2 linked regions of the Caenorhabditis elegans genome follow. The protein of the gene in region 1 interacts with the protein of each later gene in a pairwise test. Each region holds a gene or a part of one and is shown in the gene's direction. Other genes may lie near its edges.

The links. Proteins that work in one complex are often made in the same cells at the same time.
Region 2: the proteins of hrpc-1 (region 1) and taf-12 interact in a two-hybrid assay, tested with the Caenorhabditis elegans proteins (one large-scale study listed by BioGRID).

What each region holds. Positions count from the first base shown.
Region 1 is NC_003279.8:6,923,733-6,930,815, forward strand, and holds hrpc-1 (RRM domain-containing protein), read left to right. Parts: upstream 1-2,524; 5' UTR 2,525-2,576; coding exon 2,577-2,586; intron 2,587-2,832; coding exon 2,833-2,998; intron 2,999-3,368; coding exon 3,369-3,437; intron 3,438-3,717; coding exon 3,718-3,823; intron 3,824-3,929; coding exon 3,930-4,026; intron 4,027-4,263; coding exon 4,264-4,399; intron 4,400-4,750; coding exon 4,751-4,860; intron 4,861-5,066; coding exon 5,067-5,171; intron 5,172-5,305; coding exon 5,306-5,427; intron 5,428-5,609; coding exon 5,610-5,792; 3' UTR 5,793-5,933; downstream 5,934-7,083. Other genes in the region: C48B6.9 (uncharacterized protein), read right to left, coding at 688-878, 977-1,062, 1,118-1,401, 1,449-1,610, 1,659-1,727.
Region 2 is NC_003281.10:11,862,996-11,871,790, reverse strand, and holds the start of taf-12 (Transcription initiation factor TFIID subunit 12), read left to right. Parts: upstream 1-2,509; 5' UTR 2,510-2,516; coding exon 2,517-2,612; intron 2,613-2,935; coding exon 2,936-3,068; intron 3,069-5,584; coding exon 5,585-5,766; intron 5,767-6,070; coding exon 6,071-6,166; intron 6,167-6,658; coding exon 6,659-6,844; intron 6,845-8,188; coding exon 8,189-8,392; intron 8,393-8,795. Other genes in the region: Y56A3A.6 (WH2 domain-containing protein), read left to right, coding at 1-387. UniProt on the Caenorhabditis elegans protein: Part of the general transcription factor complex TFIID. Plays a role in recruiting taf-4 to the nucleus and thereby activating transcription initiation by RNA polymerase II, as part of the TFIID complex.

The sequences.
Region 1 (7,083 bases):
AAAAAATTGAGTATACTGTAGTTTTCAGTATTTTTCTCTACAAAAAGCTGTTTTTAAATGATTTAACTTGCGAAATGCCAAATAAAAATAGGAAATTCTCATTGTACAATATTAAATCTATCAGAAACTGATAAAATTTGTACGGAATGTACGAATAAAAATGGGCGACGAACAAATGCAAACGTGTTTCTTCTTTGGAAAAAATGCCATGCTGGAAGAACACGCAGCGCCACCGCGACGCGTCCAAAGGCATTCAGAACACAATTTTGAAAACGTTTTTTTCTCTTGCAAATCTTTGTTTTTTTTTACTCTTCTGAAAATATACTTTCTCACTTGCTTCTCAAACTTTTTTACTAAAATTAAAAAAAAACAATATTTATAAATATTGCAAAACACAAAATAGATATCTCTTATGTATGTTACTACTATTTATCCGCATCTTGATTTATGTCTGCTCCGTCATTTTTGTTCTGTTTTCTTTTAGTTTTCCCTCGAATTCATGAACATAAGCCTTGTATTAGTAATGAACTAAAAAAGATCCATTAATCAGGATTTCAATAAGAATTCATTATTAGTCTTATGTGTATGAAATAAATCAGATCATTGGTGTCAATTTTGAGAAACTTTGCGTGATGAAAAAGCTCAATATAGAAGTGGGTAGAATAACAAGCTATAAAAATAATACATTCAGACCAGTGTGCTTAGGTAATTGTAACAATCCTCGCGGTAGACGTGCCCACAAGAATGATTTGCCCAGAAATAGAGGGTTTTCACGGCGAAGCAAGTGGCAAGAAAGACGGCGGAAGATCCTAAAGTAATCGATACACATTTTGAGGCCAAACTTCGCGATGGGTCAATTGAGACTGTGAGCATTAGCACTGAAAATATTAGAATTGCAGAGTTGTTTCTTGTATTCTAGCGAATTCATTCTTTTGAATTTTTATAATCGCGTATGAATAGTATTTAAGAAACTCACCGATCACGAAGACTATTATTGATGCGAACCAAAACGAGAATGCCACAATTCTTAAAAAGCTGGTTGATTTGATGTATCGAAGTGCCCTGTAATGTTAAAATGTTCAAGCTATTTAATGTGAAACTTTTGAAAAGCACTAACACATCAATATCATCCGGTTGTTGTGTCTGTTTTACTATCTTCATCAGGAATAGTAATTGAAGAGCAGACACAAAGAATGCCAGAATCGACAGAATCACGATTGCCACGTCGAATGAGGCGATGACATCCCGAATGACATCGATTACTCCTCGATATGCCGATGCCGGTGATTTTGCGGTGCGAAGAAATCGTTCGGCATTTGAAAAGTGGAATTGTAGAGCAACAACGGTGAATAATGCCGAGCAAACTGACATGAAGAGGAGGAGAAGCATATTCCAGTGAACCTAAACACAATTTCATGCATAGAAAGATTGAAAAAAACTTTTCTTACCGTTTTTCGGTCCATTACTCGGTTTTCGCTGTTCAAATCGAGAACTGATGGGTGACTATCGCTAACTTGTCCCCCAGCTCCGCTATATGTTCCAGTAGTTCCAATTCCCTTCCCACCACCACATGATACTGAATATCTCATCGATATTGGCGAGTTTTGAGCCTAAAAATAAATTATAAAGTATGAGAAAAATTCCGATTTAAAAATTACCATAAGGGATTCGTGATTTAATGTGGTCGGTATGTGGAACCCACGTCTGGGTGTTGAAGATGTAACCATTTCTAAAAAAACAAGTATTGTGGCCGGAAAAAAAGCAATCTAACTTTTTTTGCCAAGCTCGAGATAACGACAAAAAACGTTTCTTTTTAACAACGAAAAGTTTTTTATTACAAAGGCACACAGAGGGAGCAATCAGTGTTCGCCGAATGCACCAATCGGACCACTGAAGAATGAGCCGCATAAGTTTTTGTGTAAGGATGCGAACGGGGAGAGATTCTCGAAAGAGTCTATCACCAGGTGGTGGCATTTGAAAAAGATACAAGAAGAGATCATAATGAGATGCAATATGCCGAAACGCTAGGAAAGAAATACCAATTTTTTAAAGATTAATTTGGTTTTTTCGAGGAAACAAGAAAAATTGGCGAATAAAAACTGAAATTCGAAATGTCGTGATATTCAGTGCCTCTAGTGCATGCAGAATCAAAAATTTTAAACAATTTTGTTGTACATTGTACAATTTTTGTTTCAGCCCACAAAATAAATTTAAAAATAGAAATACCTTTTCAATATTGGTTCTGAAAATTTTATTTACACTTATTTTTAAAAACCCCTCAAGGTGGGATTCTGTTTTAGGAAAAAAACAAAAAATTTACTGCATTAGGAATGAACATACCCTGTCTGCGCATTATGATTGATTTTCTCTTCCCATTATTCTCATTTTCAAACCATTGTCACCTCTTCCCACTCTGAACCACTCATGCGATCGATAATCTTTTCCAATTATGTTATGTTCGTGTTTTAACCGTTATGTTCAAACTTTGCTCAATTTTCTCAATTATTTAAATTTTTAGTGAAGATTTTCAGTGATAAACGTCATTCATCCCGAACACTTCAGAGAATCAATGGAAAATGAGTGCTGGTTAGTGTTTTTAATGCAAAATGAGAAATAAACTAGAGAATAAGTAGGCAACTTCGGCAGCGGAATTGGAGTTGTTTAGAAATTTTTGGGAAAAGCGATACCGATGTAATATGATATTCTATTAAATAACTGCCAGATAGTCGAGTGATGTTAAAATTTGATTTGATTAATAATTAATTCTAGAATAGAATATCAGAAATTACATTGTCCTTTTAAAAATCTTGAAAAACCAATTAAAACATTCAGAATACGGTCAGTACGGATACTATGGAGGTGCTGGAGGTGCCCAGACAACAACAACTCCTGCTGCCGCATTGGCTGCATCAATACCCGCAACTTCAGTTTACGGAGAGCAAAGACCAACATTCTCAGAAGATGGAACTGGTGCTCCATACAGCACTATTCTTAATCTGTTAGTTTTCTTTTTAATACATTAAAATTCGTTTCAAAACTGTCTTGTTTAAAATTAATTGGATTAGCCGAATCACGTTAAGTAAACTTACTTAAGATTTAAGAAGAACTAAATGAGATGCAAGACCGGGACCGAAAAACAAAAATTTGAAATTTGTAAAAAAACACCGAATTTCGATTTATTTGGAACTTTTTAGAAAAAAATTATTGAAAACCATGAAAAACCACATTTTGCTAAAGCATATTTGTAAAATATGAAAATTGTTTGAAGTACGTAAAGGGTTTTTTGGTTTAAAAAAAACCAAAAAATAGATTTTTCGTTAAAAACAAAAAAAAATCAGCTTCGTCAGCGTAATCCTAAAAACTTTCAGAGTTGGAAGCGCAGCGGTAAACAGCGATATCAGTTATGATACATCATCTAAGGATCCTCATATGATCAGGTACGAAAATAAATGTTTTGAACGTAAATTTGATAAATGAAATAAGAAAATGAGAGAAAAGAACGGAAAAAATGCAAGAAAGGTCGTGGGAAAGTAAACATTTTTGAAGCAAAAGACCGACACAAAGTGACCATGAAAGAGTAAAGAGAATAGAGAGAAAATGGGGATTTATTCATTTTCCAGAGTAAACATAACTGCACACAAAGTTAAAGAATATGTTATATAAATTATCGAACGAAAAATCGTGTATCGTTTTAGTTTTTATAATGATTTTTTACAGAGCTCGTGTTTTCATTGGAAACATTGCCCGTGCTATTATCACGCGTGACGATATCATCGAACTGTTCCGTCCATTTGGAAAAATAATTGCTGTTAATTATTTTGCTGTAAGTTAATTCCTGAATATTCAATAGCCACCGCAAAGTCCGAGTTTATTGATGACATAACTTTGAATTCACTTTTTTGCCGGAAAATAAATTCCTGATTTTTCAGCAACAAGGTTTCGGATTTGTTCAATTCAATGAAGCTGGTAGTGCCGACGAGTCATGCCGTTCACTCAATGGGATGTCATGGAAAGCTTGTTGTCTTGGTAAGGACCTGAATCTGAATATAATTTTTCTCCAAATGCAACCAAAATTAAAAATCGGCGAATTTTGCAGCTCAAATAGCTTCTCGTCTGAAAGCTTTTTATTTCAACTTTTTTCATAATTTCTTTTACCTTTTCTTATTTTCGGTTTTCATTAGAAACATTTTCGAAGTTACTTTTTATTCGATTTATACAGTTTTTAAAATTTGTTTATTTTTATTTATGTGTCCCCGATTTCAGATGTTCATTTGGCAATGTTGGGCTCATTGAGAAAGCCAACTGGAAACGAGGGTCGCCAAGGAAATACTATTGCTCCGGCCCCACTTCCTGTTGGGAAACCGTTGACACAACATGCTGTCGATACTTCCGCGCAAAGGTTCATCATTTTGGGTTTTTTATTCTTTTTATTTTTCATTTCGAAATAGTTTTGAGGATTATGGTTTTTAAAAGTTATAGCGAATTATTTCATTTTTTCTCCTTTCATTATATTTTCCTTCTAAAGAAAAACGTTATAATGCGATGGCGTTTCACTCTTTGTGTAAGTTGGATTGTTACTGCGGTGTGCTCAGTTTTCAAAAAAAAAAAATTCGAATTTCGAGGACAAACTCGAACTTTGGATAAATCATGAAATTTGAAAAGGGAAAGCGATTTTCGCTGAACGTTGAAACCATTTAATACGGTTCTTTCATACCCCTGGTACCAACAATATTAATTTTTGTATTTTCAGCGCCAAACGCCCCTATGAAGACGAGGAGTACGAGATCTTCAAGCAGAACAAAAGAAATAAGCAGTTTGCAAATGGAGATACAACTATCAATGAGCAGTTGGCACCGAATGGTGAGAGTTTAAAACTTAAAAAATTTATTGGGTTTGGAAACATTGGTTTCAAATTTTTCAACAAGTTTTTGATGAAATTATATATTTTTCTGTTGATTGAATCAAAAAATCAAAGTATCCGCCAAAACCAGAGAAATTAAATTCATATTTAAAATTGATATTTTTTCCAGTAAGAAACGAATAGGTTAAACATTTTTAATTTACAGAAATGTGCGACACAATGGTGTGTGGATATTGCCGTTTCGTGACAAGTGATTTTGAAGAGTTCAAGGAACATCGAATCGCTGGCTGTAATAAATACAAGGATCCAGGTGGGATTTAATTTCATACTGTTTCATTTGTTAACTTGATACTTAAAAAAACGTTGTATATAGATTGAAGTATGAAATTCAATTCTTAGTTATCTCTCTACTTGAATACTTCATCTCAATAATTTGTTTTCCAGAAGAACCACGACATCGTCTCAAATGTGCCACTTGTAGTCAGAGATTCCTCGGCGCGTGGGGACTTCTCGAACATTTAACCGATTTTCATCGTATGCTGCTCTATACTGAAGAGAAGATGACGGTATGTTTAGAGTTTTAAGAATAACTATATCATGTGAATATGTGAACGTTATGAGCAACCAAATAGTGGAGGATAAATTTTTATATTTTTGGACAGATAATTTAGAACTTTTTTCTATGAACAGTTTGTATGAAAAACATAAGAATGTGTTCATAAATCGATTTTAATTAACAAATTTTCAGCCAAATGATCTTGCTCAAATGCGTGGTGGATCCGTTTCAACGCCATCTTCGATTCCAGAAACTCCAGCTTCTGGTTCTGCGGCTCCTGCTGCTCCAAATTCAGCCAACTCCACACCATCTCACCATATCGTCGAAGGCGCGCCATTGTCCTACTCGTCGAATAATGGAACTCCCCAAATCTAAATATTTTTGCTAAATCCTGTTGAAATCATACCTGAATCTCAATTTTCCCATTTATCTATCTACTACTTTTTTGTTGTAAACGCTTATACATTTTTGTGAACTTTTATTTATCAATCTCTGAAGTTTTATTTTTGCTTTAAACAGACACTAGAAAGTTTGAATACGCAGGTAGCACAAGCTCCTATTACCTTGTTCAATTTTTTAAAAGTCATCTGATTTAATTTTTTAACAATTATTCAAGAAAGTGTTTACAATCAAACTGTGGAAAGCTAAATTTATTTAGAATCTCCTTGAAGTTTGTGCAAACCCTAAAAGAAAACGCTTTTCTTTTAAAATGAGCTTCTTACATAGTTCTTCAAGTTAACATTAATACTGTTTCGTAATTGATGCTTCGTTGTCTCTCACAGATGGGTCAATGTTTTAATGTATCATCGATGACACAGCTTTCCGTCTCTGTCACCTAAATAAAAACCATCGAATCAAAAGAACCGGTTGATGGGTTTCAATGTCCCCCATCACTACTGACTAACCACAACAAATACGATTTGATTCGTCGGTTTGAGAAATATATTTATTTTTTTCCGTTATACCCAATTCCCTTGGTTTGCTCACTAGCATAATATGAAAATATTTTTCTGACGAACCCCCAAAAAAAAAACGAAATTTAGTTACGCTTGTTTGCCACCTTCTTGATTGTCACTGCGTTTTCGCGCCAAATTCCGAATTCAAAAATTGAATTTTTCGAAACTGATAGATTTGGTCAATACTCACTTTTTGTCTAAAAGCGAAAAACAAATAAGTATTTAAATATAATCTTCAAAATATTTTCATATTTGGGGGAAATTAAAAATTGATAATTTTTTAAAAGTAAAATAAACTTAACGTTAAAAGCGACGATGAGTATTCATTAATTGACATAGAAGTATGTAATAATACTAGTTTTTATTGCTATATGGCATACGGTATACCTGCCTAGGCGAATTCCCCCACACATTTATTCAAGAATACGAGATACTCACATTTGTAGTGTCTCTGAAGCTCAATGAAACACGTATTTTAAATGTTAAGTGAAGTATTTTCAGTAGCTGTCACTCTTCTCATTTTCCTATTTCTCCCTATTTATTTGTGTCGGCTTCTCTTCGTCTCTCGCTTTTTTTTGACAACAATCGATTCTTTTTACACTGTTTTTTCTGTCGCCCATCGTTTTTTGTTTACTTTTTGTTGTGGCGAAGAGATTATGAGGTGGCTTTCGATTCTTGTTCTCGCTTTGTTTTTTTGGGTGAGACAAAAA
Region 2 (8,795 bases), on another chromosome or scaffold:
GCAACGTCACCACCGTACCCCAAAGGATCAGTGGGACCTACAGTAATCTCGATTAAGCCGGCACCCGTTCAGCAGGCACCGATGGCTCCTCGAGCCGCCCCGACAAAAGTAGACACCTCATTTGACATCTCGGATGTGCTGAAAGGTCCGAAGCTTCGGAAAGTCGGCATGCCTGCTGAAAAATCTGGAATCTCCCTAGGAAAAGTTGTCGAATCAGTGGAAGCATCCGGCAATCGTCCATCCTCAACTCCTCCTCCGCCACCTCCTCCACCACCTCTGGCAGCTGCTCCTCCACAGCCCAAGAATCCCGACCTAAGGGACTCGTTGATGAATGAAATTCGAGAAGCTGGAAGGCTACGGGCCGCCCGTGTTGCTCAATCTGCTTAATTTATACGCTTTTTTTTGTTTGAAGAAGAAAAATGAACTGAAACTGGTTTTAATCTTATTTTCGTCGTTGTCAACATCTAGCCCATTTAATCTTGAATATTTTCTGTGATTTGTGAAGAAAAACACGTTGAATAAATTATTTTACAGCTGAATATGTGCTTTTTTAATTTCAGATTTGATGGCCTAATTGGGAAATTCTAGGCCACCAGCCATTGCCGATGAACATATTACAAATTTCAAAAAATTATTTTCTTCAAAACCAAACACCCAAATTTTTTTTAACTACCAATCTACTAACCGATTATACTAACCGATGTCTGAATAATAATATAAGCACAAAAAATTAATACCCACCGTTCAAAATCTGACTGAAATTCCAGTTTTAGTTTAGCTCCCAATTAATATGTATTCCAATTTTCAAAAAAATTATTTTATTCAAAACCAATCACACAAATTTTTTAAAACTTCACCAATATACTAATTGATCTTTGAATAATAATATAAACACAAAAAATTAATACCCACCGTTCGAAATTTGTCTGAAATTTCAGTTTTAGTTTAGCTGAAAATGAATAAAAATTCAAATTTTCAAAAAATTATTTTCTTCGAAACCAAACACCCAAATTTTTTTCAAACTTTACCAATTTACTTACTGATGTCTGAATAATAATATAAACACAAAAAATTATTACCCACCGTTCAAAATTCGACTAAAATTCAAGTTTTTCTTTAGCTGAAATTTAGTAAAAACTCAATTTTCAAAAAAACATTATTTTAAAACCAAACACCCAAATTTTTTTTTAACTTTACGAATATACTCGATTATGACCGAACAAAATTTTACGCTAATATCCAGTTTTACTTTGACTTTTCAAAACCCTCATGCGCCTTTAAACCTCGGTGTACTGTAATAACTCGATATTTTAATTGTTTTTATTGCCTTTTCCTCAACCAATGTTAGATAAAATATGTTTTTCCATTTCCAGTGATCACATGGTACAGTTATATTCAATTAAAGAAAACAATCGCGGCGAGACCCAAAAATGTACTTCCCAATTCGATCCCAATTCTTTCGCAAAATAATGACAGAGTGGACAACAAAATGTGACATGTTTGTTTTTATAAGACGTCCGCCGTCGTCTTTTTTCTGTTTACTTGCACTTCCTCGCAACGGCGTGGCCTAGGTTTTCCCACGGCCACGCTCATTTAGGTTCTAATAAACCACACTAGTGAGAGAGAGAGAGAGATAGTTGCGAGAAGAGACGGAAAAGAGCTAGAGAGGTCTCTCGTTCTCTTCATTGGCCTCAATTTCTCGCCACCACCCCCTACGTCTCTATTCCCCCAATGTCCTACATTTTTCGGATCGTTTTTCCCTTATATCAGAATCTGCCTAATTTTACGAGGTTTCGGCGCATAATATTATGTGCAATTCGAGAATAAAACTTTGAATATTTATTAGTTTAGGTCTTTTTCATTGATTTTTTCCAATAAATTCAATTTGATTTTAAATTGCTTGAAAATCGCCACCGTATCACTTTAAAGGCGCATTGCTGTTGTTTAACTTTGGGTCTCACAGCGAACCGAGTTTCAGTCATTAATTTTGATTTTTCCTTGGTTTTTTTTAAAAGAAAATTCTCAAAGTTAAAATTTTCACTCGGTTTTAAAATTAATAATAGCTAGCAACTATAATTCTGGAAAAAACATAAATTCACTTTAAATTGCCTAAAAATACAACCGTATAAGTTTAAAGGCGCATTGCTATTTTTAAGTTTGGGTCTCACAGCGAACCGAGTTTCAGTTATTAATTTTGACTTTTCCTCGGTTTTTTAAACTTTATTTGAAGAAATTCTTCAAAATTAAAATTTTTCTCGTAATATTTAATCAAAAATAATAATTAGCAACTAAAAATTCGGAAAAAAATAGAAATTGCTTGAAAAGTTTCACCGTATAACTTTAAAGGCGCAATGCTTTTGTTTAACATTGGGTCTCACAACGACCGAGGTACTGTGGAAAATTTATCGAATTTAACGAATTTATTCATTTTTATGAATATATTTCCATTTTCCTCGGTTTTCCGAAAGATTTTAAGCTTTAAAATCATCAAAAAAAAACTTAGTTGCAGATAAAAAATGAAAATGGAAGAATTCTCACCTCCAACTTCACCGAATAATCACGTAATCGTGCAGGCGAACCCGCAAATCGCCGCCGCTCTCTCCACGAATTCTGTAAGCGATTTGTGTGTCCGCTCTCTAATTATTGCTTTCTGTCCCAACAATGACTCACCGGCCAGCCGACAAAAAAAAAACAAAAAAAACGAATAAAAATAATAAAAAATCGGAGCGCCTCTCCGTTTTTTTTCCCCCGTAAACGTCCAAAGTGTATGTGTATTATTCTCATATCGATTGTGCTTCTCTTCTTCCCCCGACAAAACCATTTCCATCACAAAAGCTTCTCGTCGTCCTCTGTCCATATATATATATATATTTACTAATACTAAAAAATGTGGCCCTACCATCATGGATATCACGTCTATCACCCACATTTTCAGCCAATGCAGCAGGGAATTCCGCCACAAGGCCATCAGAATCCCAACGAACAGCAGCAGCAGCAGCAGTTTGTGGGCCAACCGCCGATGGGTGGAATGGGCGGCCCGATGAGAATGCAGATGCCACAGCAGCAAAGTATGAAGAAAAAACTCCTAAAAAATGCCTCAAATTCAGAAATAATTCCGTGAAAAATGAAAAAAAAATTGCTCAAAATTTAGCTGAAATCTCCAATTTTGTCCTATTCCGCCTATTTTAGTCGGCTATTTTACGTTTTTTCCGAAGAAAAAAGAAAAAAATCGCGAAAAAGTGAAAAAGTTAACTCGAAAAACATGATTTTTCGAATTACCTCCAAAATGAGAAATGCCTGAGCAATCAGCGATTCGCTCCGCCCACTTTTCGACCAATCAGGTAGATTGGGCGGAGTTTGAAGATGCTGATTGGTAGGAAAATACTCGAAAATTGGTAAATTAAATATTTAAAAAAAGCGATTTTTAAAATGGAATTCTTTGAATTTTTTAAAAGCGATATCTACATTTACACAAAGCCGCCTTAAATTACACCTAAATTAACGAAAAACGTGAAATAAATATGCAAATTAGGATGAAAATTGAATAAAAATCAATTTCTAGCCACCCTGGCACCGAAAAAATGGAGATTTTCGCTAGAATTAGGCGATTTTCGGAATGTCTGGTAGATCATGGTGTGATCTACAAAAAATGCGGGAATTTTTGGCCCAAAAAAATGTGACGTCAGCATGTTCTTAACCATGCAAAATCAGTTGAGAACTCTGCCGCATTTTTTGTAGATCAACGTAGATCAAGCCGAAATGAGACACTCTGACACAATGTGTGGTTAGGAAATTCGGAAATTCAGCAAAATTGGAACAGCGACCAATCAGCGACCGGCTCCGCCCACTTTTGGACTAATCAGACGGAGTGGGCGGAGTTTGTAATCGCGATTTTCTCCGTTTTTTTTTTTGTGGTTTTTCTGAATTTTAATGTATTTTTGGATATTTTTAAAGAGAGTGTAGTTGAATTTTTTTTTTATTGCTGTATTAGACTCAAAATTGTCTGAAAACATCGAATTTAATAATGAAACTTCTTGAAAACTTTTCAGGAAAAAGTTATGATGGCTCAAAAAATGGCCTAAAATTAGTGCATTTCTTGCATTTTCAACTTGATTTAGGTATTTAAAAATCAATGGACGGCGAGATTTTTAAATTTTTTTAACGATTTTTTTCCGTTTTTTTTTGTGGTTTTTCTGAATTTGAAACTATTTTTTGGATATTTTTAAAGGTGGTGTAGTCGAATGTTTTTATTTGCTTTATTAGACTCAAAATTGTCTGAAAACACCGAATTTCATAGTGAAACTTTTTGAAAACTTCTCAAAAAATAAGTTATGACGGCTCAAAAAATGACCTAAAATTAGTTAAAGTTTGAAATTTGACCAACTTATCAATGTCGCAGCGGCTGGAAACATTTTTTTTTGAAATCACCGTCAAATTTTGAGTATATAAGTTAATTACCTTGTGTTTTAAATTTGATTAAGGTATTTAAAAATCGATGGACGACGAGATTTTTAAATTTTTTAAAACCAAATCTCGCCGTCCATCGACTTTAAAATACTTAAATGAAGTTGAAAACGCAAGATAATTAAATTGTATACTTAAAATTTGACGGTGATTTCGAAAAATTGTTTCCAGACGCTTGGCTAGTCGGTAAAATTTCAAATTTTAACTAATTTTAGGTCATTTTTTGAACCGTCATAACTTATTTTTTGAGAAGTTTTCAAACAGTTTCACTATGAAATTCGGTGTTTTCAGACAATTTTGAGTCTAATAAAGCAAATAAAAACATTCGACTACACCACCTTTAAAAATATCCAAAAAAAATAGTTTCAAATTCAGAAAAACCACAAAAAAAACGGAAAAAAAATCGTGATTTTCAAATTTTACTAAAATTAGCTCTCCGCCCACTCCGTCTGATTGGTCCAAAAGTGGGCGGAGCCGGTCGCTGATTGGTCGCTGTTTTAATTTTGCTGAATTTTCAAATTTCCTAACCACACATTGTGTCAGAGTGTCTCATTTCGGCTTGATCTACGTTGATCTACAAAAAATGCGGCAGAGTTCTCAACTGATTTTGCATGGTTAAGAACGTGCTGACGTCACATTTTTTGGGCCAAAAATTCCCGCATTTTTTGCAGATCACACCATGATCTACCAGACATTCCGAAAATCGCCTAAAATCTCCATTTTTTCGGTGCCAGGGTGGCTAGAAATTGATTTTTATTCAATTTTCATCCTAATTTGCATATTTATTTCACGTTTTTCGTTAATTTAGGTGTAATTTAAGGCGGCTTTGGGTAAATGTAGATATCGCTTTTAAAAAATTCAAAGAATTCCATTTTAAAAATCGCTTTTTTAAAATATTTAATTTACCAATTTTCGAGTATTTTCCTACCAATCAGCATCTTCAAACCCCGCCCACTCCGTCTGATTGGTCCAGAAGTGGGCGGAGCGGTACGCTGATTGGACGATGTTCCAATTATGCTGAATTTCCGAAAATCGCCTAATTCTAGCGAAAATCTTCATATTTTCGGTGACTACACCGTCTCTTTAATAAGGCTTCTCATGAAATAATTCGTAATTTTAGTCCGCCAAATGCCATACCCATCACCACAAATGCGTGCGGGCCCTCCACCACCACAGCAGCAGCAGCAGCAACACTTTCAACAAATGGGTATTCCACAACAGCAGCAGCCCCAACAATTCACACCGAATGGGCAATCAATGCAAATGCAACAGAGACCAATGCAGATGGGCATGGCTCAAGGGGTACGGGGGCGGTTATTATCTGGGAAATTTGAATTTAAAAAAAGCTTCCGTTTGAGACCCAAGAAAAACCTTTTTTCGGGAATTTGGGTCCACGGGATCAAAAATCTCTGAAAAATTGTTCTAAAAAATGTTACAAAACAATTTCTGCAGTGGAGCAGCGGAGCAGCGGTGAAAATTTCAAGGCTTGTATAATTTCTTCAAAAAAAAAATTTTTTTTTCGCATATTTTGGGCATTTTTAAGACTTTTTCTGCAGTTATTTTTGGAAATCCGCTTAAAAATCCTCTAATTTTAAAATGTTTCCAGCCAGGACCATCTGGACATTTAATGGGAATGGTCGGAGGGCCTCCGCCACAACATATGATGCAGCAGCAAGGAGGTGGTGGACCACCACAATTTGTGGTGAGTTTCCGGCAAAATCGGCAAATTGCCGGAATTGAAATTTCCGGCAAATCGGCAAATTGCCGGAATTGAAATTTCCGGCAAAACCGGTAAATTGCCGGAATTAAAATTTCCGGCAAATCGGCAAATTTCCGGAATTGAAATTTCCGACAAAATCGGCAAATTGCCGGAATTGAAATTTCCGACAAAATCGACAATTTGCTGAAATTAAAATTTCCGGCAAATCGGCAAATTGCCGGAATTGAAATTTCCGACAAAATCGGCAAAATGTCGGAATTCAATTTTCCCGCAAATTGCCGGAATTAAAATTTCCGGCATATCGGCAAATTGCCGGAACTAAAAAGGCAACGTTTACCGATCGAGCTCGTAAAAAACCGGCAAATTCGCCAAATTTGTCGTGGCGTAATATTTTTTGGAGCTCAAAAAGAGCCCGATTTAATGGAAAAACTATAAAAACCATTAGTTTTGGGCAAAATTTTTCAAAATTTCCAGCCAAACTCGTCTCCAATGCCGCTGCCTCCTCAACAAATTATGCAAGTACAACATCAGCAGCAACATCAGCAGCCACCACCATCTCAACAAATTCAACAGCCTCCAATTCCACAGCCACAACAGCAACAGGCACCGCCACCTCAAATGATACCGGCCGCTGTTCCGTATGGAAGTATTATGGAAAAGGTGCAACAAAAAACCGGCAAAAATACTTAGAAATTTCGGCAAAAAAACCGGCAAAAATACTTGAAAATTTCGGCAAAAATACTTGGAAATTTAGGCAAAAAAACCGGCAAAAATACTTGGAAATTTCGGCAAAAAAACCGGCAAAAATACTTGGAAATTTAGGCAAAAAAACCGGCAAAAATACTTGGAAATTTCGGCAAAAAAACCGGCAAAAATACTTGGAAATTTCGGCAAAAAAACCGGCAAAAATACTTGGAAATTTAGGCAAAAAAACCGGCAAAAATACTTGGAAATTTCGGCAAAAAAACCGGCAAAAATACTTGGAAATTCCGGCAAAAAAATCGGCAAAAATACTTGGAAATTTCGGCAAAAAAGCCGGCAAAAATACTTGGAAATTTAGGCAAAAAAACCGGCAAAAATACTTGGAAATTTCGGCAAAAAAACCGGCAAAAATACTTGGAAAATTGATTTTTATTTAATTTTGAAATTTTTTCAGAAAAAATCGAATAAAGCTCAGATTTTCCGATTTTTTTTCAAAGAAAATCGAAAAAAATTCAGGTTTTTTCAGGAAAATTTAAAAAATTTTCTGATTTTTTAGTTTTTTTTTCAATTACAAATTTCTCTAGCAAAAATTCGCAAAAAAAAAATTTTTTGGATTGTCTTTTCATAGAAAATGAGCAAATTTCAGATTTTTCGGTCTTTTTTTTCAGAGAAAATAGGAAAAAAAATGCACAAAGAATTCACGGAAGGGGACGAAAAAGCTATAGATTTATCAAAAAATATGCTGATTTTTATTGAAAAAAGTGATTTTTTTTTTCTATAAAGTATTGAAAAATGGCCGGAATTTATTGAAAATTCGATTTTTTTTAAACGAAAAACGAAAATTTCCAATTTTTCAATACAATTTTTAAATTTTTTTTTGAACTTTGAAAAAAATTCGAACTTCTGCATACACTAGTTTTTGCTTTGCTCCTGAAAAAATAATGAAATTAAAAATGGAATTTTTTGTAAATTTGCTATTAAAAATTCGATTTTTAAATTTTCACTGAAAAAAATGCCTAAATTTTTGGTAATTTTTCTTGTAAAAATTCTTGTAAAATTAAGAGTTTTTGTTTAATTTTCTAATTAAAAAATTTTAAATTTTCGATTTTCAAGATTTTCAAACAAAAAAATCGAAAATTATAACAATTAATAAAAAAAAAAAAAAAAATAGCCTAAAATTTTCGTAGTTTTTTTTTTTCAAAAACTCTATAAAATTTTTTTTTCCGATTTTTTGATTTTCACTGAAAAAACCGAAAATTCTTATTTTAAAAAATCTTCTTTTTTTTAAAATTTTTTTTTCAGTCAAAACTGGATGATTTGATGCAACAAATCAGCTCAACAACAGTACTCGAAGAAAATGTAAAAGATGTTCTTGTGGAGTACGCCGACGATTTTGTCAGTTCTCTAATCGATAAAGCATGCAAAATGATCAAGAATCGGGAGGTGAAGAAAATTGAATCACGGGATATCGAATTTATTCTCAAGAATGTCTATAATATGCCAGTGGTACGGCGTTTTTATTACTGATTTTTATGTTTTTTTTTGATATTTAAAATGGTCTAGAAAATACGGATTTCGTGAAAAAAAAATTAGAAAAAAACGCCTAGTTTTAGCTAAAATCTCTAATTTTTGACTATTTTTTTGGAAAAAAAATCTTCTTTTTTTTGTTGATAAAAATTTTCATCACAAAATAGCTTTAAAAAACCGGATTTCGTAAAAAAAAAACGCTTAATTTTAGCTGAAATATCTACTTTTTTACCGTTTTTCGATTCTCCAGTATTAAAAATTTTACCTGAAAAATACAGAAAATCGGGTTTTTTTTTCGATTTTTAGTGTTTTTCAGAGAAAAAATGTCTAGAAAATATTGAAATATTCATTAGAAATTTTTTTTTCTCCGAAAAACCTTGTA